4 linked regions of the Tamandua tetradactyla genome follow. The protein of the gene in region 3 interacts with the protein of the main gene of each other region in a pairwise test. Links are inferred from orthologs where the notes say so. Each region holds a gene or a part of one and is shown on either strand. Other genes may lie near its edges.

The links.
Region 1: the proteins of PPFIA1 (region 3) and PTPRS interact in a two-hybrid assay, tested with the Homo sapiens proteins (2 studies listed by BioGRID). The link is inferred for Tamandua tetradactyla from reciprocal best matches to the Homo sapiens genes PPFIA1 and PTPRS.
Region 2: the proteins of PPFIA1 (region 3) and PTPRD interact in a two-hybrid assay, tested with the Homo sapiens proteins (2 studies listed by BioGRID). The link is inferred for Tamandua tetradactyla from reciprocal best matches to the Homo sapiens genes PPFIA1 and PTPRD.
Region 4: the proteins of PPFIA1 (region 3) and PPP2R5D interact in binary tests that used the Homo sapiens proteins (3 or more experiments, as listed by UniProt). The link is inferred for Tamandua tetradactyla from reciprocal best matches to the Homo sapiens genes PPFIA1 and PPP2R5D.

The regions. Positions count from the first base shown.
Region 1 is NC_135337.1:76,748,745-76,756,647, reverse strand, and holds the start of PTPRS (receptor-type tyrosine-protein phosphatase S), read right to left. Parts: upstream 3,009-7,903; 5' UTR 2,893-3,008; intron 1-2,892. UniProt on the Homo sapiens protein: Cell surface receptor that binds to glycosaminoglycans, including chondroitin sulfate proteoglycans and heparan sulfate proteoglycan.
Region 2 is NC_135328.1:88,631,926-88,639,367, reverse strand, and holds the start of PTPRD (receptor-type tyrosine-protein phosphatase delta), read right to left. Parts: upstream 3,009-7,442; 5' UTR 2,970-3,008; intron 1-2,969.
Region 3 is NC_135335.1:4,371,053-4,378,992, reverse strand, and holds the start of PPFIA1 (liprin-alpha-1), read left to right. Parts: upstream 1-4,932; 5' UTR 4,933-5,022; intron 5,023-6,375; coding exon 6,376-6,642; intron 6,643-7,940. UniProt on the Homo sapiens protein: May regulate the disassembly of focal adhesions. May localize receptor-like tyrosine phosphatases type 2A at specific sites on the plasma membrane, possibly regulating their interaction with the extracellular environment and their association with substrates.
Region 4 is NC_135331.1:100,571,650-100,579,548, reverse strand, and holds the start of PPP2R5D (serine/threonine-protein phosphatase 2A 56 kDa regulatory subunit delta isoform), read right to left. Parts: upstream 3,005-7,899; 5' UTR 2,889-3,004; coding exon 2,862-2,888; intron 1-2,861. Other genes in the region: PEX6 (peroxisome biogenesis factor 6), read left to right, coding at 6,254-7,141. UniProt on the Homo sapiens protein: The B regulatory subunit might modulate substrate selectivity and catalytic activity, and might also direct the localization of the catalytic enzyme to a particular subcellular compartment.

The sequences.
Region 1 (7,903 bases), on a different chromosome or scaffold from region 3:
CACGGGAGGCGGATGCCTGTGCTTAAGGGCTCGGATCTGCGCCCACCGCACATCGCCTGGTGAGGGACCCTGGGGGAGCAGCCAGCCAGCCCCCAACCCCACCCCTCCAATGCCACCCCTTAGGCCACGCCAGAATCACCCATCATCCATCCCCACCAGGGGATGAGGGGCAGGCCAAGCCACCGCCTCCGGGGACAGACACTGACACGACAGTACCAGCACCCCCCCCACCTGGCACCCCTTCCGGGGGGGGGGGGCGGGTGGTGCCAATGTCATCGGCTAGGGTGACAGAAATAGAAAAGGCCATAAGCTCACCAGCCAGGCTGGGTCTCCCGTGATGGTTCTGTTTGCCTGAGCCTAATTACACCAACTCTCAGAGCGAGTGTGATGGTCCCCAAGGGGCTGGGGGGGGGGGGAGTGCCCCATGCAGAAGTGCATCGTCATGATAAAGGGACAAACCCCCTTGGCAGGTTTGGGGGTGGGGGGGTAGGGTGGCCGGGGCAGTATGAGGCTTTCTGGAGGGGAAGCACCTAGAGACACAGACAGACAGCAGGCAGAAAGAGATGCCAGGCGGAGGGCACTGGCGGAGAGGGGGGACACTGGAGGGGTGGTTTGTCCAGTCACAGGTCCAAGCCTGTGGGCGCTGGGATTTGAGAGGCGGGGAGCGGCCGCCCCCAGCCCCAGCTGCCTGTCTTCCGCCGCCAAAGTATCATCTGGCAAAGGAAGAAGAAAGGAGCCAAGGGACAGAAGGCAAGATTGGCAGGGGGAGGGGGGTACAAAGGAACCCGGGGAGGGGGAGGGGAGCTATGCAAATGGCAGAATCGACCGAGTCCCTCGGTCATTAATAAAACCTCCAGCAGCAGCAGCAGCTGCAGCAGCTGGCATCACCGGGGCAGAGGCGCCGGCTGGCTCGCTCACTCTCTCCTCGCGGGCAGAAAGCGGCTCCGAGGGGAAAGAAGGGTGCCCCGGACAAAGAGGGGACCGTATCCCCTGCACCCCAGGGACAGCAGCCATGGGGGGAGGGGGCACATAGAGAAAAGGCTGGAATCCCAGCAACCAAAGTCAGGGTAGAAGCTGGTGGAGGACCAGAGAGGGGGGTCCCCAACCTTAGGACCCTTGGAGAACCACTGGCTTTGTCCCAGCTTCTCAGCATCCCTGGCACTCAGCTGGGACAGGGGATACCTCAGACCCCCCTCATCAGCCGCGGTGGCCAGGCTGATTTTTCAGGGGTTCAGCCAAAGGTAGACTCCACCGATGCTCGGAATGGGCACTCTAACCCCCGATTGAGATAGGGGTGCGAGGGAATCCCGGCTGAGCAGGGAGGGAGGGGAATGGCCCCCCTGAAGGAAGTGCTAGGGAGATGGATTTTGGGATCCCTAAGAGGTGGCTGAATTTGAGGGAGGGTGGCCGAGGAAGGGGTGCCCTCAACAGATGCATATTTGGGGAGCCACTGAAGGAAGATTTCAGATGGGGGGTAGGCGTCACTGAAGAACCCGGGTTCCAGATTGGGGGGGGGGAGGTGTGGCTGAGGAAAGATTCCAGTTTGTGGGGTGTTCCCTGATTTGAGAATTTTGGAGAGAAAGAGGCTGAATGGGAGTTCCCCAATTTAGGGGGGGGGAGCTTTGGTAGGCAAAGGGTCCAGGATTTGCCGGGAACAGTGCTAAGAAGGGATCCTAAATCTAGGAGGGGAGAGTCTCCTGAAGAGCAGTGAACTTGGCCCCTAGATTGGCCGAACCCACGCGTGCAGGGTGCAGAGATGCTAACCCGTGGGGTCTCCCCTTAGAACACGCCCCGCGCCCCCACCCCGCGCCCCCTTCAACCTGATTCCGACGGACCCGCCCCCAGGGATGACGTCACCGCTACCCCCCAGTCCCCCCAGGGGGCTCCCGGGGCTTGCAGAGTCCGCGGGGCTGGTAGCTCCAGGGGCGGCTTCCCCTCTCCGGGGATCCCCACGGGGCCCCCAGCTCCCGAAGCGAGGTCGGGGTGTCCGGCGCGTACGCCGGTCGGCCGGAGCCCCTGGGGCCGGAGGTCCGGGCTCGTCCCGCCTGGGGAAAAGAGGAGGGGGCGCCGGGCCGCAGAAGGGTGGGGCAAGGACAAGGGTGTCGGAGGGGCGCACCCCAAGGGATCTACGGGGTGGGGAGGCGGTGAGGAAGAAAGTGGGTTGAGTCAGGGGTACCCCCGGGGAGGGGGCAGATCCGGAAAGAGCAGGCGGTGGGCGCCGCAGCCGCCCCGGGCGCACCGGCCGGACCCGTGCCCCCCACCCCCACCCCGGCTCCCGTCTCGAGCCACACATCCTAGGCTCATCTCCACTCCGGGGCGCAGCGCACCCCCAACACAGCGCCCCCTGCCTCCAGAACCCATCCCCGGTCCAGCTGGGGCCGGCACCCCCGCCACACACACTCACACACACTCACACACACACACACACACACACACACACAAGCGCGTCCCCCCTCCGCGCTTCTGCCTCGCCCGCAGCCCCGGGTGGTGCAGCCCGCGGCGCTTGGGAAGCTTCCAGCGGGGGGCTCCGGGCCATTCCCACCCAGTCCCCCCACACACACTCCCACGCCGCGGGGCGAAGTCCCCCCTCCCCCCGCCAGCAGAGCCCTCCCCGCGGCCCAGCCCCTCGGGGGCATTGTTGGGAGGCAGCTCTCCCGACGCAGCGCTGGGAGGGCAGCGGGCTGCAGCCGAGCAGCCTCCCCCGCGCACAATGGCCGTGCGGGCTTGCCGGGCACAAAGCCGGCGCGCTGCCCACTCCGCTGCCGCCAAGAACCCCCCACACCCCACCCCCAGCCGAGCGCCTGGATGGCTTTGCGGGGGTGGGGCTGGGGGACTGGCTATTATTTTTCTGGGGTGGGGGGCATCGAGGGCATGCATCTCTTCCCCCGTTACCTGCAGGCAGGCTGGGCTGGGCTCCCCGGGCTCTGCCCCGCTTCACATCCTGGCTGGTGCATGGAAGCCGAGCGGAGCCCCGAGCGCCAGCGGCTCGCGGCGTGCGCGCGCCGGCCGGGCTGCCGGGCGGGCGGCGCGGGGACACTCACTGCGGCTCGCGCGCCACCCCCCCACCCGCCCTCCCTAACCAGCCCAGCCGGTGACGTCATCCCTTCCGCCAGCACCGCCCGCCGCCGGCCCGGGGGCGGAGCCGGCCCGCGCCCGTCACTGCGCAGCCGCGCAGTCGCCACGCCCCCCTCCGCCAATGAGGAGGCACGGGCCCGGCACGTGGTCCGGGGGCGTTTAAAGGGCCGCGGGAGCACGTGGGGACTGCCGGGTCCCGCGGAAGCACGTGGGCGGCGGTGTTAACACAGAGGGGCCGCTCCGGCCCTGGAGGCCGCGGCGGATGTCATGTCTGGCTGTAAACCCTGCTGGGGCTCACTTTTAGCCTTTGGAATCAAAGCCAGCTGCCTCGCCTCGGCCCACCTGGCCCGAAATTCCCACCCACAGCCCTGGCCCTCGGGTCACCCAGCTCCGGGCCTCTTCGGGTCCCTCCAACATGCCAAGTTCGTTCCTGGCTCAGGGCTTTTGTCCTTCCCTTTCCCCCTGCCAGGAATGCTTTTCCTTCTCCTCCTCTTTTCAGATTTCCACTTCAACCTCAGCTCCGGGGAGAGAGCCTCTCTGGTCGGGCCGCCAGCCATTCCATCATTCCCGCTTGTATTCTAGTCACGCTAGGATGTGACTCCATGAATGAGGGGACACGCGCAGAGCCCTCTCCTCGGGGACTGGGGATCCCTAAATATTGACTGAATGGATGAGTGAATGGATGACGTGGGGGGGGGGTGCAGAGTAACCACTTCAACACGCATCTCACCTGCTGTGACCGTTCCCTGCTGAGGTGGAGTGAGGACAAACCAGCGCAGACTGTGACTCGCTGTGTGGAACCCTGAGCGTCAGTCTCCCCACTTGCAAAAATGGATTTGCTTCTCCGGGTCTCAAGCGCCCCATCTGCCAGAGGGGGCAAAGGTAGCGCCTCATCACGCAGACAGCGTGAAGATGGATTGTGAGGATGTGCCTGCCTGGCCTGTGGGTGGGGAGAACATATGAAAAAATTAAAAAGTTACTCTCACGGGCAGTGGTGGGGCAAGTTTGGAGGCTCAAAAATGCCAACCCACATTGCACTCGAGTTACCGTGTTTTTGAGTATGTTGAAAGCATTTATTTCCTCCAGGTACATACATAGAGAGGTCCAGATGCCCTGAGAGGGAATCAAGTATAGAATTTTGTGTTTTGGTTTTTTTCCTCTAAAATCGTTGATTCATTCATTCGGGGCTAAAGAGGCAGATAAACAAAGAAGCATTAACCCCGGGAACAAAATGGGAAGGCGGAAGTCATAAACAGGAGAAGAGAGAGGAGATGATGAATAATTAAACAAAGAGCCTAAATTAAGCTCCTGAGTTTCCCAGCGGCCAGTGCAGCGGGCAGGTTAGTGGAACCCACTCTGTCGTCCTTCCTGTCTGAATGACCCTGGCCTGGCTGTTTTCTTGTCTCCATTCAGAGGGGACACTGCCCCACCTTCCAGGACAATATGGGATGGTCTGTGCGCGGATGTCAGACCCACTAGGTGTTCAAACCTCAAGTGCTCGATGGAGGCAGGAATGCTGGGGTCTGGAGGGTCTGGAGCCTGGCCCAACCTCCTTTTTCTTTAAGGGGAGGGACCTTGCATGAATCACTTGCATACTCTGAGCCTCAGTGCCCCCATCTGCAAAAAGGGATACTTTGAAGGCTTCTTGTGATCAAACAAGGAAAATACAGTGTCATGGGTGGGCCACGGTGGCTCAGCAAGCAGAGTTCTCACCTGCCATGCCGGAGACCCGGGTTCGATTCCCGGTGCCTGATCATGCAAAAAGAAAAAAAGATACAAGTGCCGCATGTACCCAGTAAACCCATCCGTTCAGCCTATGCACTGGGCTGGGGAGACAGAAGTAACCCAAGCAGTGCACACAATCCCTGCCTCCTGGAAGTCACACTCCTCATACCTTGTTGGGGATAAAAGCCCGAGTCCTCCCTGTAACCCATAAGCTCCTGAACGATCTGCCCCCCACCTCGTCCCTTTCCAGCCCTCCCCTCCTCCCATTCTCCCCCTCAGTCCCTCTGCTCCAGCCACAGGGGCCTTCTAGCTTCTCCTCCAGCAGGCCAGGCCCAGTCCTGCCTCAGGGCCTTTGCACATGCTATTCCCTCTGTCTCTAATTCTGTTCCTCCTACTCTTTCCAAGGCCAGATCCCCCTACACCATCTAGTCTCTGACAGCTCCCCCACCATCCCACCAAAATGGTCACACATGGCCGTCTGCCTCCCGATGCCAGAATATCTACCACAATTCAGAGTAATTTTATGTTTTTGCCTGTTCGTTTTCTGTTTCCCTCTCTAGCCCTGCTTTTCCTGCCTGTAAGTGAGGATGATAATAGCCTCTCCCTCCTAGGGTTGTGAAACAAGTTACAGCTTGTCCAGGCAGCACCGGGCATGGAATACGGACTCAAGAAAGGGCTGCTCGATAAAAGTGGACATTGTAAATGGGAAAATCGGGATCGCTGGCCAGAAACGGAAGTTGACCATAGACAAGAACATAATATTCTAGTGAGATCCTGGCTAGAGGTGGGCAAGTTTCAGAAAGACCTTAGGGTTGCAGCAGCACAAAACCAAGGCTTCCCACGAGCCAAACCTTGCAGATAACTGAAGAGGGGAGAAAAGTGCTCCCCAAGGGAGTGGTTTGAATCTCAAAGTTTTGCACTGGGGAAAGCACTAGAATTGGAAAGTGGGGTGTGGAGGGCACCTGGCACGCTGTAGGTGTGACTTATTGTTTGTTGGGTGAATAGTTTAGTTAATGAACAATTCCCTCTCTGTGGAAGGGGCCCTTCTCCCCATCCTTTGCCAGCCAGACCTCCCCCCCACACCCTACTGTCTCCCAGCACCTGGCAATTAAATCCATTGAGGGTTTTTGGGTTTTTTTTGGGGGAGTGGTGCATAGTCTGGGAATCGAACCCAGGCCTTCTGCTTGAAAGAAGAGCATTCTACCACTGAACTACCTGTGCATGCTCCATTGTGGTTTTTTTTTTTTTATTTATTTTGTATTACCAAACCAAAACAACACGCAAACATGAGCATTCTTGACATGCAGACATTCTGTGCATGGTGTACAATCAATGGCTCACAATATCATCACACAGTAGTATATTTATCACCATGATCAGTTCGGTTGTGTTTTTTTTGAGACAACTCTGGGGGTCCCACCAGCAAACCACCAGCCGCCTGTTGCTAGGTTTGGACACAGCCACTCTCAGGCGCATTCAGGATCCGGATTTAAATTCCTGGGAGACAGGTTGGAAATATCTCTGCTACAACATTGCCTCACGACAAGAGATTCCACCATTGTCACATAGTCTTTCAAATTGAACATCGCTCTCTCTGCAAGTTCACTTCAAATGCGAAAGAGCAAGGGGACAGGTGGGAACCACCCCCCACACACACACACACACACACTCTGCTGAGTGCCTTGCTCTTCATTGGGCTCCACGTGGGATCCACTGATGCAGCTTTGCAGGTAAGGGTTGGAATTCTGGAGTCAGGCAGGCATGGGTTCAAACCCTGGCTGTCACATTTGACAAAGGTCAATGTGGTAGTCTGAATCTGTGGTGGACCCCAGAAAAGCCATGCCTTTTTATCCTCATTCAATATTGCTGGGTGGGAGCATTTTGATTGTTTCCATGAAGATGTGACCCACCCAATTGTGGGTGGTAACTCTTGATTAGATGATTTCCATGGGGGTGTGTCTCCACCCACTGAAGGTGGAGTTACTTGCTAGAATCCTTTAAAAGAGGAAACATTTGGGAGAGAGTCCCCTTTTGGTAGAGCCACGTGAAAGCCAGCAGGCGCCGCCATGTTCACCACGTGCCCTTCCAGCTGAGAGAGAAACATTGAACGTCATCAGCCTTCTTGAACCAAGGTATCTTTCCCTGGATGCCTTAAATTGGACATTTCTATAGACTTGTTTTAATTGGGACATTTTCTCGGCCTTAGAACTGTTAAACTAGCCACACATTAAATTCCCTTTGTTAAAAGCCATTCCGTTTCTGGTATATTGCATTCTGGCAGCTAGCAAACCAGAACAGTCAACATCCGTTTATGATTTAAAAAAAGAAAACAGATTAAACAAACTAAAAAAAGAAGGAAACGCCTCAACCTGGTAAAGGACATTTATGAAAAACCCACAGCTAACATTACACTCAATGAGGAAAGACTGAAAGCTTTCCCCCAAAGATCAGAAATGAGACAAGGATGCCCGCTGTCACCATCGTTATTCAATACTGTACTGGAAGTTCTAATCAGAGCAGTTAGGCAAGAAAATGAAGTAAATGTCATCAAGATAAAAAAAAAAAAAGGGGATTAAGTAAAACCATTTGTATTTGCACACTCAACAGGCTTGTACATAGGAAATCCTGACAAAGCCACTAAAAAAATCTATTAGAACTAGTAGAAGAATTCACCAAGGTGGCAGCATACAAGGTCATAAACAGGTATCAATTGTGTTCCTATGCAGTAGTACTGGACAAACTGAAAATGAAACTAAGAGGACGATTCGATTTATAATAGCTCAAAAAAAAAGAATTTAGGAGTAGACCTACTAAAAGAAGTGCAAAACGTATATGCTGAAAACAACAAAACATTGCTGAAAAATGAATGATAACCTAAATAAATGGAAAGATATCCACGTTTATGGGTTGGAAAACTACACATTTCTAACATAAGCAATTCCCCTCCCCCCCCCAAAAAAAAAATAAAGGTGATCTACAGCTTTAATATAGACTGTATCAAAATCCCAACTGGCTTCTGGGCAGAAATTGGCAAGCTGATTCTAAAATACGTATGGAATTGCAAGGGACCCCCCAAAAGCCAAAATAATCTTGAGAAAGAAGA
Region 2 (7,442 bases), on a different chromosome or scaffold from region 3:
CCAAAAAAAGCATAAAACTTGTTTAACTTAAATTGAACAGAACATGATTGTTTTTTAAATTAAACAACCAATCATCCAAGGCCTCAGGTTTTTTTTAACACCCTTTTTCTTTTATTAAAGAAGTTCAAGGGACTTTTGTCTCAAAGGGACCGTTCAATATGCATTTCCTGAACTTCAGCAAGTATACTTAGACTAACTCAAATGAACCACAGATTTCACACCATCAGCAAAAAAAGCTGGGGCACACAGGAAAGAGGATCTTTGGGTTGTTCTTAAGGAAGAAAAGAAAACCAATAAGTTGTCCAAGACACAGCTTCAGTCAGCGAGAGGCCTCTGCGGCCCATGGCTTACACTTTCAATCACTGGCCCTCCTTGGGAATTGTGAGCTCTTTCACTCTCCCTCCTCTCTACTATGAAATGTTTTCTCCAAATCAGTGTGGACTAAATCACTGTGATAATTCTCCCAAAAACATTTGCACTGAAAACATTATATTTCACCAGTGAAGGCAGCAGGTTGTTTGGTAATGTACATGCATTGTGGGGAAAGAGCTCGGGGTTCCAATTCCAACTCTTTCCCTTTTGGAGCTGTGCGATCTCAGTCATGTTTATAAGCTTTTCTGAGAAGTATCTGAAAAATGGAAACAATCAGATATTCCTTACATAATTGATTTGAAGATTATATGAAGTAATATATGTAAAGCCACCTACCCTAGTGGGATTAAAATGGGGAAGGGAGTCCTTGCTTCATTCTATTAGAGCAATGTAAAGTTCCAGGTAACTAGGTGTGGGGTTTTTTTATGAGACTGAAGGACTTTTTATGCATTCCAGATATGGAGCTATGAAGATAATGGCTAATGCTATTTAAATGAAAGGTTGAACTACCCCTACAGTTACTTCTTTTAATGGTAAAATTGAATAACAAGTACAAACACTGGCAGTCAAGTCATTTGTGTGGTTTGTGGGATTCTGGATAAGAGGATGTAAGTAAAGAGCTAGAACCCAGGTCTTACGAGGAATGTCATCCAGAAATGCTGACCAAATTCCAATGGCTTTCAGATTGGTAAATATTTCAAACACCATAACCATCCTGTCCATTGATAAGCTTATCTCCATTTTAAACTTTAGAACATCAAGGTCAAGGAGATTACATAGAAGCCCTGGGAATCTCACCCCAGTTTCAGATTTAGTCAGAGACAATGGCTCTCTCTACCCCAGCATGGGTGAAATCTGCTCTGTAGTTGCTAAAATAATGGATGATGGTGGGTAAACTAGTAGTGATAGCTTCTTAAATAATGGATTCCATATACATCTACTTTTTTACCCATGACACTTCAACTGTTAGCAAGAAACCGTTTTTTACGTGATGATAAGCAAGTAACACATAATAGCCACTAAAACAAAGCAAAAATAAATGAACAACAACAACAAAAAAGGAACAATAACAATCACAAACCTAGAACACAAAGTGCTTTTAAAAAACAATTTCTCACTTATTTGTATCTTTGTGCCAATGAAAATGGAGGTTACCTTGGTGAATCATTATGGTTTATGCTTTGGGATAGAAACACTGTCAAATACTGCAAGATTCCTTGGTGAATTTGTGCATTACAAGTGAGATCAATGCTACTGTTAACCTTTCCTTTGCCAGCCAACAGTAATTACAGCATAACTGCAGGGTAATTCTAAGGTTTTGTGTCCCTGAATGGAGGAGTAATTTGAAATGTTCCCAGTGTAAATTTGAATTGTTTAGCATATGCTTTCTGTGGATTAGAAATACACTTTAATGACTTATTTCATCACCCTAAATGCATGCTTTTCCCTTTTAAGTAGGCAAATGATTTCATGGGTATAGTGAGTTTAGAACATTTGAAATAAATCAAGAAACAGTTTCTTCACTTAAACATGGCTTAAATTAAGCATGAAGCAGGATTCTCAGAAAGATCAAATAATCCCATGATTACTAAAACTTTTTCTTTTTCAATGAAATAAAAAAATTACTCAATGCCTCTATTCTTTAAATCACTAAAACTTGAATTTTAGCTAACTCTCAACAGCCAAACAAGCTAACTAGCAAAAAAAAAAAAAAAAATGCAGCTTTCTTCACTGTTGTTTATTGCTTTCTTTCTCTCTTTCTCTAGAGCACAACCTATTGTATGTTCTGCCTCTATCTCTTTCGTTTCCAGTCCCTAATCTCTACTCTTTAATTTGGTATATCTCTCCTTTCTTCCACATGTTGATAGTGACACATATGTAATTTATTGTAAACCTAGATATAATTTATCTGTTAACTCTCTTTATTCTTATGGAGATCTGCCTTCTCCCTTATTTCTTTAAAGTATTTCAATTCTTCCCTCTTTTCATTTTTCTTACTTATTTGCTTTCCTTTTAACCACTATCCCATCCTTTCTCTGAGATAGTCCATTAATTGAATGCTCTTTCATCATCCCAAACATATCTCATTCCAATATCAGTGGTAGTTCTTAGGGAATAGCCCATGCCGTCCAGGTTTTCTGGTTTTAATGGTGTAATACCTCCATTACAGGTAGGGTTTGAGGGAATCAAGTCACTCAGTGACCTATTACCATAGACGGGCATCAGATCAAAATAAAATGATTGTACCAAAGTATTTATAACCATTAGCTTGTAAAAATTCATTCTTTGGTTTCATAATCATCCTTGACCTTAAAATCATGCCCATTACCTAGGGCTTGAAATTTCACTTTATCTGTAACCTCTTGCTATCTGCTTACCATATACAGAAAATTTATGTCAGTTTTTTTTAAGCCTCCAAAAAAATCTGAAAGTGTTGAAAGTTTACTTTTTTCCCATACTTCTTAATAAAATTATTAACATTTTTCTAATAAGCTACAACTGACAGTAGTAAAGAAATACTATTAAATAATAAAGAAAATTGGAAAGGCAGACAAGAAAACAACAACCACAAAACCCCAGCATGTTTTAAATCTTACTTGTTCTCTAGATCCCGCGGCTGTGCACAAGACGTCTCCCTAAACAAAGATGAAATGTGACAACAATTAAAATGTTGTTAAAAGATGCTATTAAAATAAAAAAGATGCTATTAAAATACTTTTTATTTAGTGATGCATTTTTTTTTTAACTACTTAGCTCGCGGAGAATTTCAAATTCCAATAAGAACTGAATTAGTAGTACTTTGGTATTTTCTTTCATACTCATTGTGGTAAAGGGCAACTTAAAACATTCCTTGTAAAGCAACAAGACAACAAAAATGCTATGATTATTCTAGGAAGAAAAATAAAAGTTTTGAAATAAAAATTCAATGAACTTTGTAAAAATTATACACAATATGAAAGATAAAACAGCTTATTATTTAATATATTTAAATAAGGAAACAAACTTCTTTTGGAAAAGTTTTTGAAAAATTCTTACAGAAGGGAATATTCTTTACAATGCAAACTTTTAAGATTTAATTATTTGGTAAACACACATAAAGCCCTTTGAGTAAAAACTGCTTTGACTAACATAAGGTCTTTAGAAAGACAGAATCTCCACAAACCAAGATAATTACTGTTAAAAAAAAAAAAAAGACAAATCTAGAACAAAATGTTTTTTTAAATTTTTAGTGAAAAATATTATTAATTGATGTTTTAAAAATCTATTTGAAAAACTGCAGGTGTCTCAGGAGTTTTGCTAGTCACTGTAAAACCTGAACAAATCCCTCTGGAATTTCTCCCAAAATAGTTACTAAACTTGCTCACCCTGAGTACACAACCCCCCCCACCCCCATTTTGGAAGAGTGGAAATGGAGAAATTAATTAAAACTCATATGAGCTGTTTAAGAGCAAGTGGAATTATTATTCCATTTCTGTAAAATTCCAGAAAATGTCAATTGATCTTAAGTGACAAAAAGCAGATCAGTGGTTCCCTAGGGACATGAGTGCAGAGGGGAGAGAGCTAAGCATTGCAAGTGCCATGAAGAAACTCTTGGGCGCGATGGGTATTTGTTATTTTGTATGTGGCAATGGCTTCTGATGTATATATGTATTTTCAAATCTCCATCAAATTGTAGTTTTAACATGGACAGTTTATTATATGTTAATTATTCTTTAATAAATTTCTTAAAATAAATGATTATGAAATATATATTTAATATGGAGGATGCAATATATAGATAAACCATTGAAAAAATTCATGGTGATTTATATTATTTCAATTTTTGTTTTAAAAGATTTAAAATGACTAAAAATGTGGGCTAAAAACAAAAGAACAAATGCATTTAAAAATAAAAATAAATAAATTTACCTTTTAAAATTTTTATTAAAAGATGATCTGGCTGTTGTCTGATGACTAATCCTGGAAGAGGGTGTTTGGGCGTGGATGTGCTGTAAGGAGGTTTGGGCTGTACCATACTGAATGTGGAGGTAAAGGCTGCTGGGTGGATTCAAGATACAGTTAGAAGGTATTAAGAAAAGGCTGGTTGGGTCACTGGGCGTGAGGGTAATGTGAAGTAAGGAACCAAGTACGATGCTCAAATTTCTGGTTTGAGAAACTGGATGTATGGCATTGCCGTTTCCTGAGATGGTGAGGATTGAGGCCTAATTAGGTTTGAGGGTAAGATAAGAGATCCCTTTTGGATAGATTACCTTTCAAATACCTATGAGACAACTAAATGCAAATGTTTAGTTTGATAAAGGTTTCTAGAGCTCAAAGGAAAAGTTGGATGCTACACAAATTATTTTGGGCATTAGTGGAATGGAAGAAAAGGTCAATGTGAATAAAGGAACCTAGAGTCAGTATGGGTTTATGTCACCCTTAAAAGTAACCAGAACTGGGGTAATAAGGAGCTCTGTGGCCAGAGGCTAATTTTAATGATTGCTTATGTTCCTTAGAGACTATTTCTAATTCTTGTGTTTTAAAGTCCACTTTATGGGTAAGAAAACAAAAGTATAATATTTCAGTAAATTAGCCTAATGGTATCTGCCTCTGATTTAATCTTTAAATTATCCTAAAAAGCTCTTGGATGTCTAATTCATTATTTAATAGGCATTATAATCGCCCTACCAAAAGTATACCTCTTAAGTAACATTGATTCATCTTTTTTTACATACATATTTTGTAAATCAAACTAGAAGTCAAGTATAGAGCCTTGCTAAAATACTCAACCTCAGTATTACTAACAGAACCTGACAACATTTTTTTTTTTTTTTTGCCACACGCACATAGAATGTGCAAAACTATAATATGACTGGCTAAAGGAAGCTGTAAAATCTGTACTGTGATTTTTTATGGCATAGTTTCATAATTGCTATAATAGTGTTCTTCAAAGTAATGCTCAGTTTGAGAATAATCCATGAAAAATTTGATTTTGATAGTTTCCATTTGCTTTCAGCCTTGCTGAGATGTTGGGAAATCATGTAACCTTGCTGAATTTTTGTTTCTTCATCTATAACATGGGAATGGTGCAAACAACTTCTCAGGGTTTTGGCGGGATTAAATGAAATAAGTGCTCAAAAAAAGTCTTACATGGTACAAGGAACTATACTTTGTGGAAATAACACCACTGCATCAATAATAATCAGACATAGAAGCTAAGGGGACACCCAAATTACTAAAAAGAAATATTCATCGTGTTTATTTTGTGCACTGCACTTAATTTCCAAATCATTATCATGTCTAGAAATAAATAAATTATCAGCTCTTCAGATCCTAAAGAAAGAAAAAAAAAATTCAAGAACTTTATGTTTCTTTATTCTTAGTATACTTTGCCAAATTTAAGGTTTTATCATGTGATAAAAATGAAAGGTCTAGCATCTACGCATGGCACAATGTCTGGACTGAGACACAATTCACAAAAATGGTTCTTTGTCCCGACCCACGCGGCAGATGAACCTGGACCTGAGGGAGGGAGTGAGAACAGATGGGACAAAAGACACAGAAAATGGAGACAAGACAGGTTTCTGATCACGTCTCAATTTATTGAGGGTAAATGCAGGGTATTTATCCAGCGGGACAGGGGAAGTGCCTTGTATCAGGCGTTAGCAGGTGATGGGCATTGCACTGCAGCTAGGCCAATCTGCAGAGACTAAGATAGCAAAGGTGGATCAGCCGAGGTTGGTCAGCTGATTTGGGGGAAGGGCAGAGCAGAAGTGAGGAAATAGAAATTTAACTTGAGTTAGTCCCTAAGATGGCATCAGACCACAAGATGGCCGGCACACTGCCGGTGCCATAAGCAGTTTCCCACAGTTCTTCCATCTTCCTCGTTCCTCTCTTTAAGTTGCTTTTAAATCTTGTATTTCATTTTCCCTACTCATCATGATACCTCTCATATTTTCATTCTCTCAACTTGGATCAAGATTAAATTACTAATTATTATTTTAAAGGAACAGTTTGTTTTTATTTTCCTTTTTACAAAAATTAATGCATATTTTCCACTTTATAAAAATAATTCAGTGTTTATCACTAAGAATTGTTTAAAAATGCATTGAAGGAGGGTGCACGGGTAATTCAGTGGTTAGAATGCCCGCCTTTCATGCGGGAGACCCAGGTTTGATTCCCTGACCATGTACCCCCTCAAAAAAAAAAAAAAAAAAACACTGAAGGAAAAAGAAAAAAAATAAGTCATTCAAAATCCCATTTTTGTATATTGTGATATTTTATTTCACCTATCAATTTAGCCAGGTTATGGTATCCAGTTGTTTGGTCAAACACTAGACTGCTTGTTACTGTGAGGGTGTTTTATAGGTGGTGTTTGCACCCATAATTAGTTTATTGCATCTACACTCTCTCTCTCTCACATACACACACAAATTATACTATAATCAACAAAGGGGTTAGCTTTCAGCAGTGCCAAAAGACTCCTCATCCAATTAGTAGGAAGTCTGAAAAGCCAGAACTAAGGATTTCAGAGGTTAGAAGAATTTCTGCCTCAACTAGACCATTGCCTTTTGCAATTCCCAGCCATCCACCTTCCCTGGGGGATATCAGATGAAGGACTGGGGCATCACCTCTATTGGAGTTTCCAGCTTGCATTCTGCCCTGCTGAGATGGGGCTGCACCCAGAGTAGTTATGTGAGCCAATTCCTTATAATCTTATACTCTCTCTCTTTCTCTCTCTCACACACATACACACATACACACAATATACTTACTGTTGGTTTTATTTTTCTTGAGAACCCTAATACAGTAGCCAATCAGTCTTCTTCCTTTTTATTTTTGCACAAGCAGGCACTGGGAATTGAACCTGGGTCTACGGCATGGCAGGCGAGAACTCTGCCTGCTAAGTCACCGTGTTCTGCCCCAATCAATCTTTTTCTATGTGTTAATATATACTGTGTAAATTCAACAATGATTTCTTATTGCTCCTCTTGTTTACTTACTTTTCCATGAACATTTTTAAATGATGTTATTGTTTCATACAACATTGTTAGGTGCTGCAAAGTTTTATCTTGTTTTAAATTTTATGG
Region 3 (7,940 bases):
TCGTGATGTCTGGCTTGGACCAACCCTGGTTTGCTCTGGGGGTCTGGGCACATGGCCCCACCCCAAAGGCAGCTCTGGTGGCAGTAGGAATGGCTAATACAAGTGCTTCCAACTCACCCAACCCTCGCAGCAATCCTGCAAGGTGGTATTAGCCTTGCTTTACAAGTGAGGAATTGGAGGTTCAGAGAGGTCAAGCATCTTACCTAAGGATGCACAGCATTGGTAAAAAGACGCAGAACCAAGGTTCAAACCTGGCTTCCTGGTTCCGGAGTCCACACTTAACAACCTCGGTGAGGAAGGGACACATTTGAAGAGGGGAAGAGGGTCCAGAGCTGGGAGCCAGCTGGGAGGGAGCCGGTCCCCTCTCATTGTGCAGCCACTTGCACATTCCTTGGATGGATGGCATTTTTTTTATGTGGCTCCGTCTGATGAGCACGATAAAGCTGTCAAGAAAAGCAAGTGGCGGGAGGTTTACGATTTCCTTCAAACTATAATTGCACAGATGAATGAGGCAAACGCCTTTGTGCCAGTGCAGGAGGTGGCGAGAGCCCTCAGAGCTGGCGCATTCATTGAAACTGGCATTGTGCTGGGGCAATCCGTACGCCCCAGCCATCATAGGGGGCAGTACTTCGGTGGCCGGTCATTGATCTGGGGGTTTTGACCTCAGCTTGGGGTCCTGGAAAGGCCACTTCAGTGTAGCAGCAAGAACACAGGGGCTTTGGAGCCAGTGAGTCTTGGGTTCAATTGCTGCTTCCCCCTCTCCCAAATTATGAGCTACGAGGTGTTGGACGCATAATTTAGTCTGTGTTCTCATCCCTAGAGGATCTGGTGAAGTCATAAGGATAAACTACTCTGCAAACGTGATTTTCCCATGAGTTCACAGAGGTGTCCATGCTCCTGGGGACAGACACGCATTAACCGAGCTCAAGGCGGGCTCATTGATAGACCAATAATTCAATGAATTGGCTTATCTGCGGAGGATACCAGAATCCTCAGGCAGCTCCCCTGCTTGGTGGCCACTGAGAACTTCGTCTCCTCTTCTGCCACATTGGGAAAACAGGGGAACAGCAGTGTGGGGATGATTTTAATAATTAAATGAGATGAAAAAACAAAACATTAGCTCTCTTTCTTTCCCTTTCTCCTCTTTAAAGATCTCTCCTTTAGTGGGGTACATGTGGGAAACCAAACTCAGACCCTAAGGGATACTTTAGCCAAGCCAGGGAAGCCCAGGGCCCAAAGCTCCTGTCCTGGGGATTGGATTACACAGGCCACCCTGGGGCCCCCCTGGATAAAATGCTTTCTCTTTGCTTGACCCTTAAAGAGAACATTCTTTGATCACAACAACTTGGCACATGGACCAGAATTCAAGAGCGCTGGATGTCTAGTTGCTCCTGTCCCACCTTTGTCCCCAGCTCGTGGGGGGCCTGTGGGCCAATCAATCAGCAGCCACACCCCCACGGGCTCTTATGGCTGAGACCCTCCCACACTGTCAACAGGCCACTCATTAGAATTCTAGGTGGGCAGGGCCCACACCCTGACCTCTATGGGGGATCTCTTGCTTGGGGGTCCTGGTGGGGCTTCTGATTGACAACTAACCACATTATCTAAATTTCCATCCACCCCTGAGGGGGTTGGGATTCCAGGCTGTTGCTTCTGCGGCACAACCTGAGTCCTGGTAAGAGACTCTCTGGGACCACCCCTCTCCCCATATTTTCTTTTTTCAAGGCTTTAACAGAAAAACTGGGGTGAAAACATCATTTTCCATCTTTGTGGTTTTCCTGAGCCTTATCAGGATGACATGCAATCTAGGAGATGCTTTTCAGATCAATAACTCTGGTGTATAGTTTAGCTGGGTGGTATAGAAATAACTACATTTAAAAGTCATTTTAGCTTCCCAAAAGCAACTCTCCATATTTCGTTCTTGCCAAGATTTTATTAAAGTAACATTCATTTTTGTACTTACTGATAAAAATAAAGCACATTCTCAATAAAGTATCTGGAAAATACAGACTAACAGAAAGAAATGAAAACTACCCACAGTCCCACTCAAAGATAACCACTGCCAACATTCTTATGTATCTATTTCTAGGAAAAAATAATATTTGTTTGAATACAATAAAAGGCTTCCCTATGTAGACATATATACTTTTCTTTTAGAAACCTGAGACTTACATTTTAATTTCACTTTTCTAAAATATTTCATTTAATAAAATAGATTCATTGTTTTAAAATTTATCATATTATTTAATAACATTCTAGACTTTGAATATATAAATTTTACATAATATAAGCTTCATCTATACATACGTTCTTTTTCAAATTTGGGATCACACTGTAATTTGCTTTTTAAATTTTTTTCCCATTTAAAAAAATTAAGGTATAGCTTACATATTAGTGTATGTACACTATACACACAGATCACAAGCACAGTATACATTTTTTTGCCTGCCTTAGCTTCCTAAATTGTGAATGTCACAAAGCATTCTGTTAATTCCAGCTGCAGTGCAAGTCTCTTTCCCTTGGCCCTTTTTCTTCTTCCTGGTTTTGCGATTTGGGAAATGAACTGGATCAAAGTGAATGAAAACCGGTATTTCCATTTTCCTGGAGGTATACCAAGAGGGGTTTGTCCCTCTTCTGCTTGGAAAACTCACCCTTCCAGCTCCAGCTCAGATGTTGCCTCCTCCAGGAAGCCTCTGAGATGACAGCTGGTGGGTGGGTTCTTCCTTCCTCTAGGGTCCCAGCACACCAGCTCACATGCAGTTTATGGGACAGGCACTATTATAGTCTGTTTATTCGCCTTTTCCCCTCCCGGCTGTGGAGGAGGAGGTGGAGATGTCTAAGTAGAGCCCTGTCCCCAGACCTAGGCCACTCACGCGTGCTCGGCAAATGCTCACTGCAGGAACGGAGGGTCTGTCCTGTTGAATCACATTCTGGTGATTGTGCCTATTTCTTACAAGTCAGGTACTTTTTAATTTAATTTAGCTATTTTTAGGGAAAGGAGAAGGGAAGAAAAAGAGAAATAGAGAGGCTGAAAAAGAAAAAGAAAGGAATGAGAAAGGAGAAAGGAGGAAGAGAAGAAGGGGGAAGGAGGGAGGGTGATGTAGGTTGGACAGCACCACATTCTCCATCTGCCCCCCAAAATCTTCATCCAGGTGTAATTATGGGTTGGACGAATTAGGCCGGTACACCTAAGGAGAGCTAGAATGCCTGCAGGTGGTTTGAAGCTGTCTGTTCCCAGAAAAACATGTTTTAAATCTAATCCATTCCTGCGGGTGTGGACCCATTGCAAATAGAATCCTTTGATAAGGCTACACTTCAGTTAAGGTGTGTCCCACCTCATTCAAGACAGGACTTAATCCTTTCACTAGAGTCCTTTATAAACAGAATGAATACCAAGAAAGAAAAACAAAAAGCCTAGAAGAAGCTGAAAGCAAGGAGACCTTGAAGAGACCAGCAGATGCCACTGTGTCCTGCCACGTGGCAGAGGAGCCAAAGCTCACAGGCATATAGTCTTTGGGAAGAAAGCATCACCTTCATGGTGCCTTAATTTGGACATTTTCATGGTCCCAAACCATCAGGTAGTAAATTCCCATTGTCGAAGCTCACACATTTCATGGTGTCTGCAAAAACAACCTGAGAACCAGGGGTAAACTTCATATTTATGTGTAATCACTCAATACACACTTATCGAATGAAAGGAAAGATGGAGGGAAGGTGTGATACTGGACCCTGGGAGGTAAGAACGTCAGAAGCAGCACCTGTCTCAGCGAGCTCAGAGTCGGGAATCCCGAGAGAAGGGCTCTCTTCTCCCCACCCCACGCAGTCGGGGGGCGTGGCTGCCTTCCTACGGCCGGACAGTCGCCAGCGGTGACCGGCACTGGTGTCCTGACATTTGTTTCGCAAAGTTTGCGCTCCAGGAGTCAAACCCGGAGGGGCAGCGCCTGCTTTTATAGATCAAATCCATCTGCAAGAGCCAGCACAGGACCGTCACAGAGCACGCGTTCAAAAACACCTGCAGAAAGAAGGGTAAAAATGACCACCAGAGGCGAGGGCCGCCCCAGCCAGGCTCTCCACTAGTCCCGCGGCAGGTGGGTGTGAATCACTGCCCCACCGGGGAGACCGGACGCCGAGCCCCAGAGGGGCTGCCCTGGGCGGCCGGGCCCAGGGGCGGGAGCTGACCCGGGCGTGGCCGCCCCAAAGCCCGCATTCTCCCCGCGGCGCCACGCTGCGCCTCCGGGTCTCCCCAGGTAGGGCAGGTAGAGCCCGATCCAGGAGTGTCGCGTGGAAACCGCGTCCTTGTGAGCGCGGTAAGGGCAGGTTCGGAGGAGGCGGCGCTCGCAGGCTCCGACCCCGGCTCTGAGCAGTTCCTGGAGCCCGGGGTCGCTTCTCCACGGGGACCCCACCGCCGCCCGCGCCACCCAGGTGAGTGGAGGAGCGACCAGCGGGAAATGCCGGTGCGCAGCGGCCGCGCACAAAGGCCTCGGGTGTCCCGGAGGCTGGGTGGGGAGGACACATCGGCGGCCCCAAGGCCGAACACACGGCCCCGGAAGGCGAGCGGGAGCCCCGAGCCGCAAGCGCTGAGCCCGGAGCTCGGATCCCAGAGTCGTGTACGCACAGGGACCCTCACCTGGGCGGAGCTTGTAGGGGCGGGGCTGCTGTCGCGCCCAGCCAATCAACGCCCGGAAGACTCCGCCCGCCCCCTACCTGGGCAGGCGGCGCTTGCTCATTGGGTCGCCGGTGCCGCGAGCCCGCCCCCGGCGCCGACGCTCGCGCCGACGTGCCCGACGTCGGGCACGTTGACGCCGGTGACGCGCAGGCCGGGCCCGCTCCTCCTCCGCTCCGCCAGTGTCCGGCCGCCGGCCGGCCTTAGTGACTGGGGGCGGCGGGCCCGGGGCCGCGGGAGTCGGGCGGGCGGGCGGGCGCCGGCCGCGGGCTGCCTTCGTCGGCCCCTGAGCTCGCCGGGAGCGAGCAGCCGCCCGCAGCCGCCGCGGAGCCTCCTCGCCCGCTCCCGCCGGTGACAAGGTGAGGGACCCGGGAGACTGAGGTGGGCTGGGGGCGCAGCGGGCCGGGGTGGTCCCCGCGCGCCCCGGGCCCCGGCGCGGGCAGCCTTTCCGTCCGTGCCGCCGGGCTGCGCCGCCCTTCAGATGTCAGCCCCGGGGGAAGGGTCTGCGTCTCCGGGTGCGCACGGGGCTGGGGGCGAGGCCCGCGGCGCCGGGCCAGGGTGGGAGCGCCGCGGCGAGCGCCCGCGGGACCCCCGGGGGACGCGCCCACTCGCCCCGAGGGACCGGGCGCCGGAGCGACGCGCCGCCCTCTTCTCTGGCCGCAGAGACTCCGGGGGCGGCGACACGGTGGGCGTGAGGGGCGAAGACCTGTGGCTGCTGGAAGCCCCTACCCGGGAGGGCCCGCGTTGTGGGTGGCTCCTGCCACCCAGGGGCTGGGGAGGCTGCGGCACCTGACGCGGGAGGGGAAAGGAGCGCCAGGGGGTTGAGCGCCGTCGGGTGTGCTGTCTCTGACATCTCTCTTTTGGGGGTTCACGGTGGTGACCCGGGATCCAGTCCGGACACCTCAGGAGCAGCCACCCCCCCCACGCCCGGTGGTTATGTTTGAGACGCTTAATAGCCTCATAAACTCACCTTTCACTTTCCCTCGCTTCCTAGCGTCCAGGGCTATATCGACCTGCTATATTTCCATTGTGGAATTTTGTGCGTGTGTGTGTGCGCGCGCGCGCGTGTGCTGAAAACTTACGTAAGTTAGGTTGATTGACCAACCATTGTAGCCATTGAAAAACACCTCTCCCAGCCTTTCAGGAATCCACTTCCTTTCACTGTTCACCAAATCCAGCCCAAGACTTGAGGGAGCGCCGTCAGTCCTTCCCAGTAGCTGACTGCACACATTCCTGGGAAATGCCCGATGGATTTTGTACTTGTCAGTTTTACTGGCTGTCTATGCTCCTTCTGTGTTTTTCCTGCAAAAATGATCAGGTGGCATGTGTTTTGGCTTTCTCTCCCCCACCGGGAAATACAGACAAAACAAAAAACCAGCTAAGAAGCAGGCTTGTTTTCAACAACAACAACAAAAATAGCAGCTTTGCAAGCAGAATACCACAGGGTTGATTCTTTATGTGAAGAGTAGTTCTCTTCAGTCTCTACTCCTTCGCTGGGATATTGTCTGTGTCAGTGTCTTCATCTCATGCCACAGCATTTAGGATTTGCACATGCCTGTTTTCCCGGCTTATGGGGAAAGCCCAGCAATCACATCTGAGAATAATGAGATGGTCACTTCTCATCTGTTAGCTCCAGATACCTATAAGGGAGCAGATTTGGGGCAGTAATTGTTTTATGCATAATAACAGCCTTCTGGGTCTCTTCTTTCAAGATGATGTGTGAGGTGATGCCGACCATCAGTGAAGCCGAAGGCCCCCCCCCAGGAGGAGGTGGGAGCCATGGATCGGGTTCCCCTTCACAGCCAGATGCGGATTCCCATTTCGAACAGTTAATGGTCTCTATGCTGGAAGAGAGGGATCGCCTTCTAGACACACTGAGGGAGACGCAGGAGACGCTGGCTCTAACCCAGGGGAGATTGCATGAGGTCGGCCATGAGAGAGACTCCTTGCAGAGACAGCTCAATACTGCACTTCCACAGGTAGGGTGCTTTCAGTTTGCAACACTATAGGTTTTTCCCATTACTTGGTTTCCTTTTTTTAATGGTGGCACTGCTCATACATTCGATGTGTATTTTGTATAATTAACTACTCATGAAATGTTAGTTTCTGGTGATTGGAAGTCAGATGTAGAAAGTAAATTCCTGAGGATTAAACTTTTCAAGGAGAACAAACTCTGTTTTACTTTAAAGTTATGTAAAAATGCCTGTCATCCTGTTCTTGGTGCAACAGAAGAAACTGATTTGGGAAAGTGCTCTGAAGTTTTTGAGAAAGTGCTTGAAAAGTTTTTGAAAAGGACTGTGAAGCAGTCAAGCTTTGTGGTACTTTCAGGTCTCTTGAACTTTTTTTTGTTTTGTTTTGTTTTTGACAGAAGTGTATTTCCCATGGATTGTATCTTGTATATTTCAATTTCCTGTGAAAGTTAATAGGAAGATAGGATTAATTTCACAGAAAAATAATTGTTTTTACAGCCCACCTTTACTAAAACACCTGTGTTCTGTAAATCCTGCTTGTTTTGGAGGTGGAAGACTAGAGATTGATTCCTTAGTAATTTTTGTGTTGGCAGATGAGAATTCTAAAGCTTAAAGTCACGTGGAAGAGCTTACTCTTGAAGTACGTTACGTTTGAATCCGAGTTTCAAAGCCTTTTCTAGTGAAATTGAATGAGGATTTAATGATGGTATGGGGAGAAAGTTAAAACTAGAAAAGTGTACAGTGACTCACCCAGAGTGTAGTTGGAGCAGTGTGGGTTACTTAGGTGTTTCTGAGATATCTAAGTGCCGTTTTATTTAGCCAGAGAGTGTGCCTTCATGGTGCTTTAAGGTGAACCTGAATAAGCATACATCTATACTTTCATGATGAATCTGTAGTGGTAAATTAATAAATTAATAATTAGTAGCCTTAATGCGTTTCTTGGCTCTAGTCAGTTCTCTTGAAAAATTGATAAGCTAAACATTTGGATTTCCTTTTTAGCAACTAGTTTTTCATGTTAATGCTATATATTCCTTTTTTGTTGGATTGAAGAATCACTAAGTTTTTTTTTCTGGTTAGAATCTTCTAAATTGCCAGGTTTGTTTAGATAAGATTTTATTATCATATACCTAAAAGAGTTGGCCAAATTATCATGTTTTATTAGTATTTTATTGTATTTGAAACTCTTTTCAGTATTTTTTAATAATGGTATTTGTTTTCATGTGATGTGAGCTGCATATAGTGAAGTGTTTTTTTAAAGAATGTACACAAAGGACATAAAAGAGAGTGGGGGTGAGTCTCATGCGGCA
Region 4 (7,899 bases), on a different chromosome or scaffold from region 3:
GCTTCTCCAACAGGGCTGACCCATCTGCACACACGTTTGATTTCTCTTTTTCTCTACTTGATCATAAGCTCCTTATTCTTTATTGTCCCCCTCCACCAACCTTAGGCACTTACCACAATGCCTCAGACGTATCCCTCAGGGAAGGTACCTAAGAGATATTCTTGCTGCCCTTGAAGCAGGGTGAGTGTGGGAGTGAGTGTGTGTGCATGTGGGGAAACTAGGCCTGTCACCCTTGTTTCCTGGGTCTTGGAAACAGGTATGTATGTACTTCAGCCTGGCCATGCACAAGTGCTGGGGAGCCCCATGGTTTTAAAAAAATGGGTTTGGGAGTCAGCCTTATGTTCTGGGTCCAACTTTTCCTAGCTGTATAATCATGGGCAAGTTAACTAGCCTCCCTGAGCCTCAGTTTCCTCATCCATTAAACGGTGACATACACAGTTCCTACCTCCCTTACAGAGTGCCTGGCATGTAAGAACTCTAAAGGTTGGTCACTATTATTGTTATTATGAACAAGAAGAAAATGGGAGGGAACAGGGATACTCTACCCAGGAACCTAAATAAGAGAAATCCCAGGTCAGAAAAAGAGGGAAGGGGAGGGATGAAAATCTCCCCAAGACTGACTCAGCACCTATCCACATACAGCCTACTGTGTGCAAGGGAGATGCTAAAACCAAAATGGTGTTTATCTCAAGGGGGAAGAAAAAATTTGTCCACAATAAATTCCAGTCCATAAGCTGCCTATCAAGTGTTCTGCAAATCGAGGGGATGAGGGAGAGTTCACTCCCAACTGAAGACTGACAAGACTTTAGGGAGGAGACTGTAAGGATGGCCAGGATTGAGACTAGGAGAGATGAAGGAGAGAGGAGAAGTGATGTGTGAGCAATGAAGATCCTCTACTCACTGGCCACTCTTTCTGCCCAGCCTCATCCAGGCAAACCTCAGTCTCATTTTTACCTCCCTCCTCCCTCAGGACTTACCAACTATTGAAGGAGGCCAAATGCAGCCAAAAATCAAGCTGAAAGTTAAACCTGAAAGGGAATCAGCGTTATGCCTGGCTGCATGCACCTGATCCCAACACCCTTTCTCAATCAAATACTTATACCGTGGCCCTCACAAGTCTAATTAAGACTTTTTCTTCTTTTCAATTATCCAGTAGGCAACAGCTCTCTGTGGAAAGGACAGTATCTGCTCCATCAGAGTAAAAGCTATCAATGGCGGGGACCTCAACTGAGTTCTGCTCCCTTCCACATTCCTTGAAGGAGCCCCTAGTGTGGCTGACCTTTATGTGCATCATCTACAGCTAAGCTGCCCCAATCACCTTGCATGCCCACTCCCCAAGGACAGGGGCACACAATCCTGCCCAGCTAGCACCCCAGGAGGTTTAGTAGCTATTATACTATCACCAAACCCATATTCCAAACCTCAGGCCAAGAGGTTATGGGGACAACCCAGAATCACAGCTGCCTGGCAAATCTCCAATAGCCCCAGGATAGAGTTTGATTGATAAGGTCCTAGAGATGGCAGCCTAGCAACTTAGCCAATCCAATCAGAAAGCAAATGAAAGCAATACACCTCTGGGGTCATAAAGCGGGCAGCCAGAACACCAGGCCAGAGCCAGCCCCACCATGAGGGGCCGGTCCCAGGGGAGGAGAAGCTGGGGGTGGCTGGAACTGGTATTCTAGCATCCTCTGTGTGAGTCTGTACCTCAAAGGAACCACACCTCTGAGTCAGACCAACAGCAACAGCAGGAAACAGAGGGTAGAAAAAAGCAGGGATGAGGAAGAGGGAAAGGTGATATGGCTCAAGAAGAGGAAGGTGGAAGAAGGCAACATCAAGAAATGGCTTGTGTCAAGACACCATGACAAAGGCATGGGTGTCCACGGGTGGCTGACCCATGGGGGTAAGAAGGAAAACTAATCTGACTTTGAGACCGATTCCTGATTTGAGAACAGTGTGACCCAGGAAAGACAGAAATCCAGCACTGCTGCAAAAATTAAAAATGCAAAGGTTATCCTAGGATTAGGAATAAGGGGAGGCGCCTGCTCAGATTAGAAAGGATGACTAGTCTAGGATGAATCTGGGAGCCAGTTGATAACTGCTGGGGTTGGGAGTGGGGGGCTTTAGGTCAGGAGACCCGATACTGCAGCTCTGCTTCCGGCAGTCTGTGTGACCTTGGACAAGTCCCATCCCAGGACCTCAGTCCCCTCATCTGTCCCACTAGAGGCTGGACTGCCGGTGCTGAGAAGTCGTTTCCAGTGCTGACGTTCTGAGGCTCCATCCACAGAAGGAAGGGCTCACAAGTTTGTGTGTGAAGAACTAGAGGGAGGGGCCTAGTCCAGATTCGGGTGGAAGAGAGAGAAACCTGCCTCCTGGGTCAGGGGGCTTGGCGCAGAGAGAGAAGGAGGCCATCTAGGCGGTGAAAAGAGAAGGGAAGGGGCTCTGCAAGGGGGAGGGGGTAGATCTGGAGCGAGGTGCTTTCTCAGATGAGTGGGGCTGTCCCTAACGGGTGTGGGGCGGAGGGGGAAGGTTGGGAGGAAGGGGCGGGGGCGAAAAAGCAAGGGAGTGACCTGGGAGTGGGGCAGATCTGGAGGGAGGAGGTTACCCGGGGCCGGGGATAGGAGGCAGGAGGAAGAGTGGGAGGTGTATTTGAGAGGAATGGGTTCCGGCCAAGGTAGGGGAGCTGTCCCAGCTGCGGCACAGGCTGGTGGTGCTGCGAGCCGCGGGGCGACAGGCTGGACCGGGGAGTCCTGCGGGGGCCAGACGGGAGGGTCAGTCTGGGCTGTCCCGGGCCTGGCTCGGGCCCCTCCCAGAGCTCCGCGCAGGCCCCAAGGCGGAGGCGCGGGGGAAAGGACCACGCTCACCTTCTCCTTCTTCAGTTTATAGGGCATCTCGGCCCGTCCGGACCCAGCCCGGCTCCTGCGGCCCCGCTCCGGCCCCGGCTTTGCTCGGCCGCACTCGGCCCGCTCCGCCGTCTCTTTGCCACCGCCTGCGCGCTGCGCCCCGGTCGAGAGGTGTCTGCGCCTCCAATTGGCCCGAACTCTTACAAACCTGCCTGACAACCCGGCGCCGCCTCCTCGGATTGGCCATTGGAGCCAAGCTGCTTCCTTTTTTTCCCATTGGAAAGAAAGAGTACAAACCGCCAGGGTTCAGCTCCCAGAATTGGTTGAAGTGGGAGGTCCCGCCTTAAAGTGGGTCGAGCTTAGCGAAGGAGGCGGGGGTAAGGGGAAACCCAGGCTTGGCTCCGAGTGCAGTACTCCAGCGTACGGTGTGCGTCGGCCTTGGCCATTCTTCGCAGCCTTTGGAGCTTTGCTTATTCCTTCCAGAAGTGGTTCTCACACTTTCCCCACTCTGCTAACCTGCCCAGTCTGAATTGAAAGAAAGAAGCCCTAAAATGAAGGGCAGTTTCCTTCATCGGAGCAAAGCAGCGCTTAATTGCATGAGCAAAATTAGTAGAGAGTGGTCCCAAGAGACCTCTGAGGGTGTCTGCCTCCCTGGACGGGAACTGCAGAAGAACCTGACCTGGCTGCCATCTAGGGTTCTCATCCCGACTTCATTCCAATTTTGGGAAGTGGGTCGCCAATTCCTACTGCAAATGTTTTGAGATTGGGGAATCAGCTAGACTTGAGCAGTTGACAAGACAGAAAAGCAACTCCATTGCCAGTGTCTCAAGAAATCCATCCCTTCCCTCCATCCTGCCCAAGCCAGTGACTTTATGGATAAGACTCATTAGACTCATTTCCTGACCTCAAGGAGTGCACAGTTCGGCGGCATTCACAGATTTGTAAAAACAGATGATTAAGATACAATGTGATAGGGTGGTGCAATCCTGGCTGGATTCCTGTCTGCCATGCTGGAGGCCCGGTTGGATTCCTGGTGCCTGCACATGCAAAAAAAAAAAAAAGATACAATGTGATCGACCAACTACACAAGCCTAGGAGAGGCTTGAAGACATATGTTTCAGAAAGGCCACTTCAGCAGCAGATTGGTTATATGAAGAAATTGGAGAAGGTTCATCAAGAATAAGCCTGTGTTTCGTTTTATTTCTTATTCTGAATAGATGCAGATGTTCCAAGAAGTGATCATGATGATGAGTATGCAACTATGTGATGATATTGTGAATTATGGATTATATATATAGAATGGAATGATCAAAATAGGAATGTTTGTGTTTGTTTGGTGTTTTTGATATTTAAAAAAATAAAATAAAATAAAAGAATAAGCCGTGGTCCTTGCTCAGGAGAGCAATGCTATAGTACAGTGGCCATGGGGGTGGAGGAGTTGGAATTGGGCAATATGTAGGATCCAACAATGATGCACTGGATTATGGGGGGTGGTAAAGGAAAGGAGGGAGTTGAGGATGACTTCAGACATCCCAGAGACGTAGGAGGAAAGCTGGTGTCATGACAGCAAAGGGAATAAAATATTTTCAGGAAAGAGGACTGGTTAATAGTGTTAGATTCTAGAAAGGTTGAATAAGATAAAGATCAAACAGCAGACCATGGATTCTACAATTGGGAAGTTATGGGTGATCTTCACCAGGGGAGTTTCAGAGGAGTAGAAGCAAGATTATGGTGAATTGAAGAGTGAGCAAGAAGTAGGAAAGTAAAGATGGCAAATACAGGCTACTTACAGAACTTGATTGACTTTTCTATGACTAATGATGATTTAAAAGTGAGCAAAATGATGGCATGCCATTATTTACTGGGGGATAAGCCTAGGAGGAAAGGACATTTATTTGTGGAGGGGTATTTGTGTCGATATGGGTAATGGGACTCCAGGCAGGATGCCAGATATATTTACCCATCTGCAAGACTCCAAGAAGCATCACAGCCCTGAGGCCTAGAGTTTGCCTGCTTCTGTGTAAAGCAGGTATCTTCCTTGCCTGCCTACCTCCCCTCCACTCTCCCAGTCCTTGGTACCACTGGTATGCAGGGGACAGAGCCACATATAGCTTAATGCTACCAAAGGGGAACTTTCATCCATGAAATCCAGGTACTTAAATTCATGAACACTTTTGTATAGATGTGGCGGTAAACAACTTTTTAAGTTTTTTTTTTCTTCCCTTTCTGGGGACAGATATTTCTCATAACATGCACATCTAATATTCAACTTTCAGATATTTGACTTTCAAACTTTTTTTTTCAGGAGTGCATAATCTACAAAGTAGAAGACTGCTTCACAATGTTTAGCTGTTAAGGAAAAGAGATAGCTGGGCAGCAGCTAGAAAAGACTGCTAAGTTCAGAAAGTAAATTCCCACCATTCAATCCACTGACGTTCAGTGCAAATATAGTAATAATTGCAAATGTGTGGCTTACCAGTGTCTGACTGTCTTGTACAGAGCAGTGGGGGTGGACACAAGGATGGAATTTAAGTTACAGCACAAGTGGGAAGCAGGCTTGGTGCTCCGTGCTTATGACAGAAGCTTCGACCCCCTCCCATAATTAGGCCTGCTCTGCTGCTCTCTCTGCCTCCTCTAAGGTAGAAACGGAATGGGCTCCAGTCTGTGAAGGTTGGTGGGGGAGAGCAACTGGTTGGGGGGAGATGAAAGAGCAATGCAGCTTTGTCTTCGCTTCCATTCTTGTGGGAGTAGAACGAACAAGACAATGAACAGGACAAGAAACGTTGGAACGTGGGTTTTGTGTAGGATGTCTGTTGGAACAGGTGTGGCAGCACCAAGCACTCCAGAACTACATGAATCACATGTAGTATTTCAGCCAGCAACCACTACATATCCATAAGCAGGTCTAAGACAGAGTTTTATAACCCTACCACTTCCTTCTGCAATCGTCCCAATTCCCAAACCTCAGTGCCTGCGGTTCCACTGCGGGCGCTCACAGGAGGATGGACTCCCCAAACACTCCACCCACAGATCCCAGTACCAAGCCAAGTTCAGACACGCTGGTTGTTCATTGGTCAATTAATAAACTGTAAAGCGGAGAGCACGTTACTCTTCTAAAAGGTACGGAACGTAAACTCCTGTAAACATAGGCTCAAAGGGCGCATGCGTAAAGGCTGCGCAACCGCCGCGTTAATGGTTACTGCCATCAAGTCACCATCCTGATCAATTAATTCAAGGCGCCGCGCATCCCTCTCAGAGCATGCTCGCCGCACGCGACCCACTCCCGCTTTCTTCTCGCCTCCCTTGACGGAAATGGAAGTGGAAGCGGAAGCGGCGCACACGTCGTTGCGTCGCCCCGCTTGCTGGCTCCGGAAGCCGCGATCTTTCGCCTTCCTGTTTGGACTCCTGTCAGTATGGCGCTGGCGGTGCTGCGAGTTCTGGAGCCCTTCCCTACCGAAACGCCCCCGTTGGCGGTGCTGCTGCCACCCGGGGGCCCCTGGCCTACGGCGGGGCTAGGCTTGGTGCTGGCCCTGCGACCTGCAGGGGAGAGCCCGGCAGGGCCCGCGCTGCTAGTGGCGGCCCTGGAGAGGCCGGGCGCGGGAACTGAAGAGCAGGGCTCAGGCTCAGGGCCCCCGGAGCTGCTGGTTAGCCGCGCGCTGCTGCAGCTCCTGGCACTGGGCTCCGGGGCGTGGGTGCGAGCGCGGTCGGTGCGGCGGCCTCCGGCACTGGGCTGGGCGCTGCTTGGCACCTCGCCGGGGCCCGGGCTCGTGCCACGGGTTGGGCAGTTACTGGTGAGGCGCGGAGAGGTCCTCCCTGCGCCCGGACCACGGGTGCTGGAGACGCGGCCGGCATTGCAAGGGCTACTGGGCCCGGGGACGCGACTGGCTGTGACGGAGCTGCGCGGGCGGGCCAGACCGGGCCCGGAGACTGAAGACGTCTGCCGGCCCCCACCCCCGCCGGTGGTGTCCTCCTTCGCAGCTCTTGGCACAGTCCGGCGACTTCGGGGAGTTCTGGGAGGGACCGGAGACTCACTGGGGGTGAGCAGGAGCTGTCTCCGGGGTCTTGGCCTCTTCCAGGGCGAGTGGGTATGGGTCGCCCGGGCAGAAGAGACATCGAACGCTTCGCAGCCGCACTTGGCCAAGATGCAGGTCCTGGAGCCTCGCTGGGACCTGTCTGAGAGGCTGGGACCCGGGTCTGGACAGCTGGGAGAGCCCCTGGCTGAGGGAATGGCTCTCGTCCCTGCCACTCTGGCTTTTAATCTTGGCTGTGACCCCCTGGAAATAGGAGAGCTCAGAATTCAGGTAGGATACTGTACCAAGATCAGGAAAGCGTCCTCTTCCTTATCCCCTCTTAACTAAACTAGAAGACCAGAGCTGTAGAATTTAGGCCCCTTACTCCTTAGGATCCTGAACCCTTCATTTATGTCTCTTAGCTTTATCCGTTCTTCATAGTCAAATCTAACACGAGCCTCCATAGTGTGATGGTGCATGGGAAGGATTTTCATCTATTTAGGTGAAAGGTGAGAGTCAAAGGAAAATTGCCCGGTGTGAATAGTAATCTTAAACTAATCAGTTTATTGAATTGCTGCATGGTATCCAGTATTGGGGGGATAGTATGAAAGATGATACCTCAGTGCCTTTGCTTTAGATACTTATACTTGACTTCAAATTCCATCTTAGTCTTCAAGCCTTACTGTTAAAATCCTACCAACCTTTCCTTCAAGGCCCATCACAAGATGTCACTTCCCTCCCAAAGCCTTTCATAATTTCCCCATATTTCTTCTGCAGCATTTTGTACCCTACTTAGGCATTTATTTTATTCTACCTTTTAATGATTATGTAATCTGTTTAATCTCCCAATTATAGATTGTAAATTCTTTGAAGGAAAGGGCTTTTTATTACCTTTGATGCCTGGTATTTAATTTTTATTTATTTGTGTGTGTGTGTGTGTGTGTGTGTGTGTGTTTAATTTTAACATTTAATACATCTGAAAGAAGGTTTTGGTTTCTGACTTTAAGGATCTTACTTTAAGAAGACAACTGTATTTGAGGGGACAAATA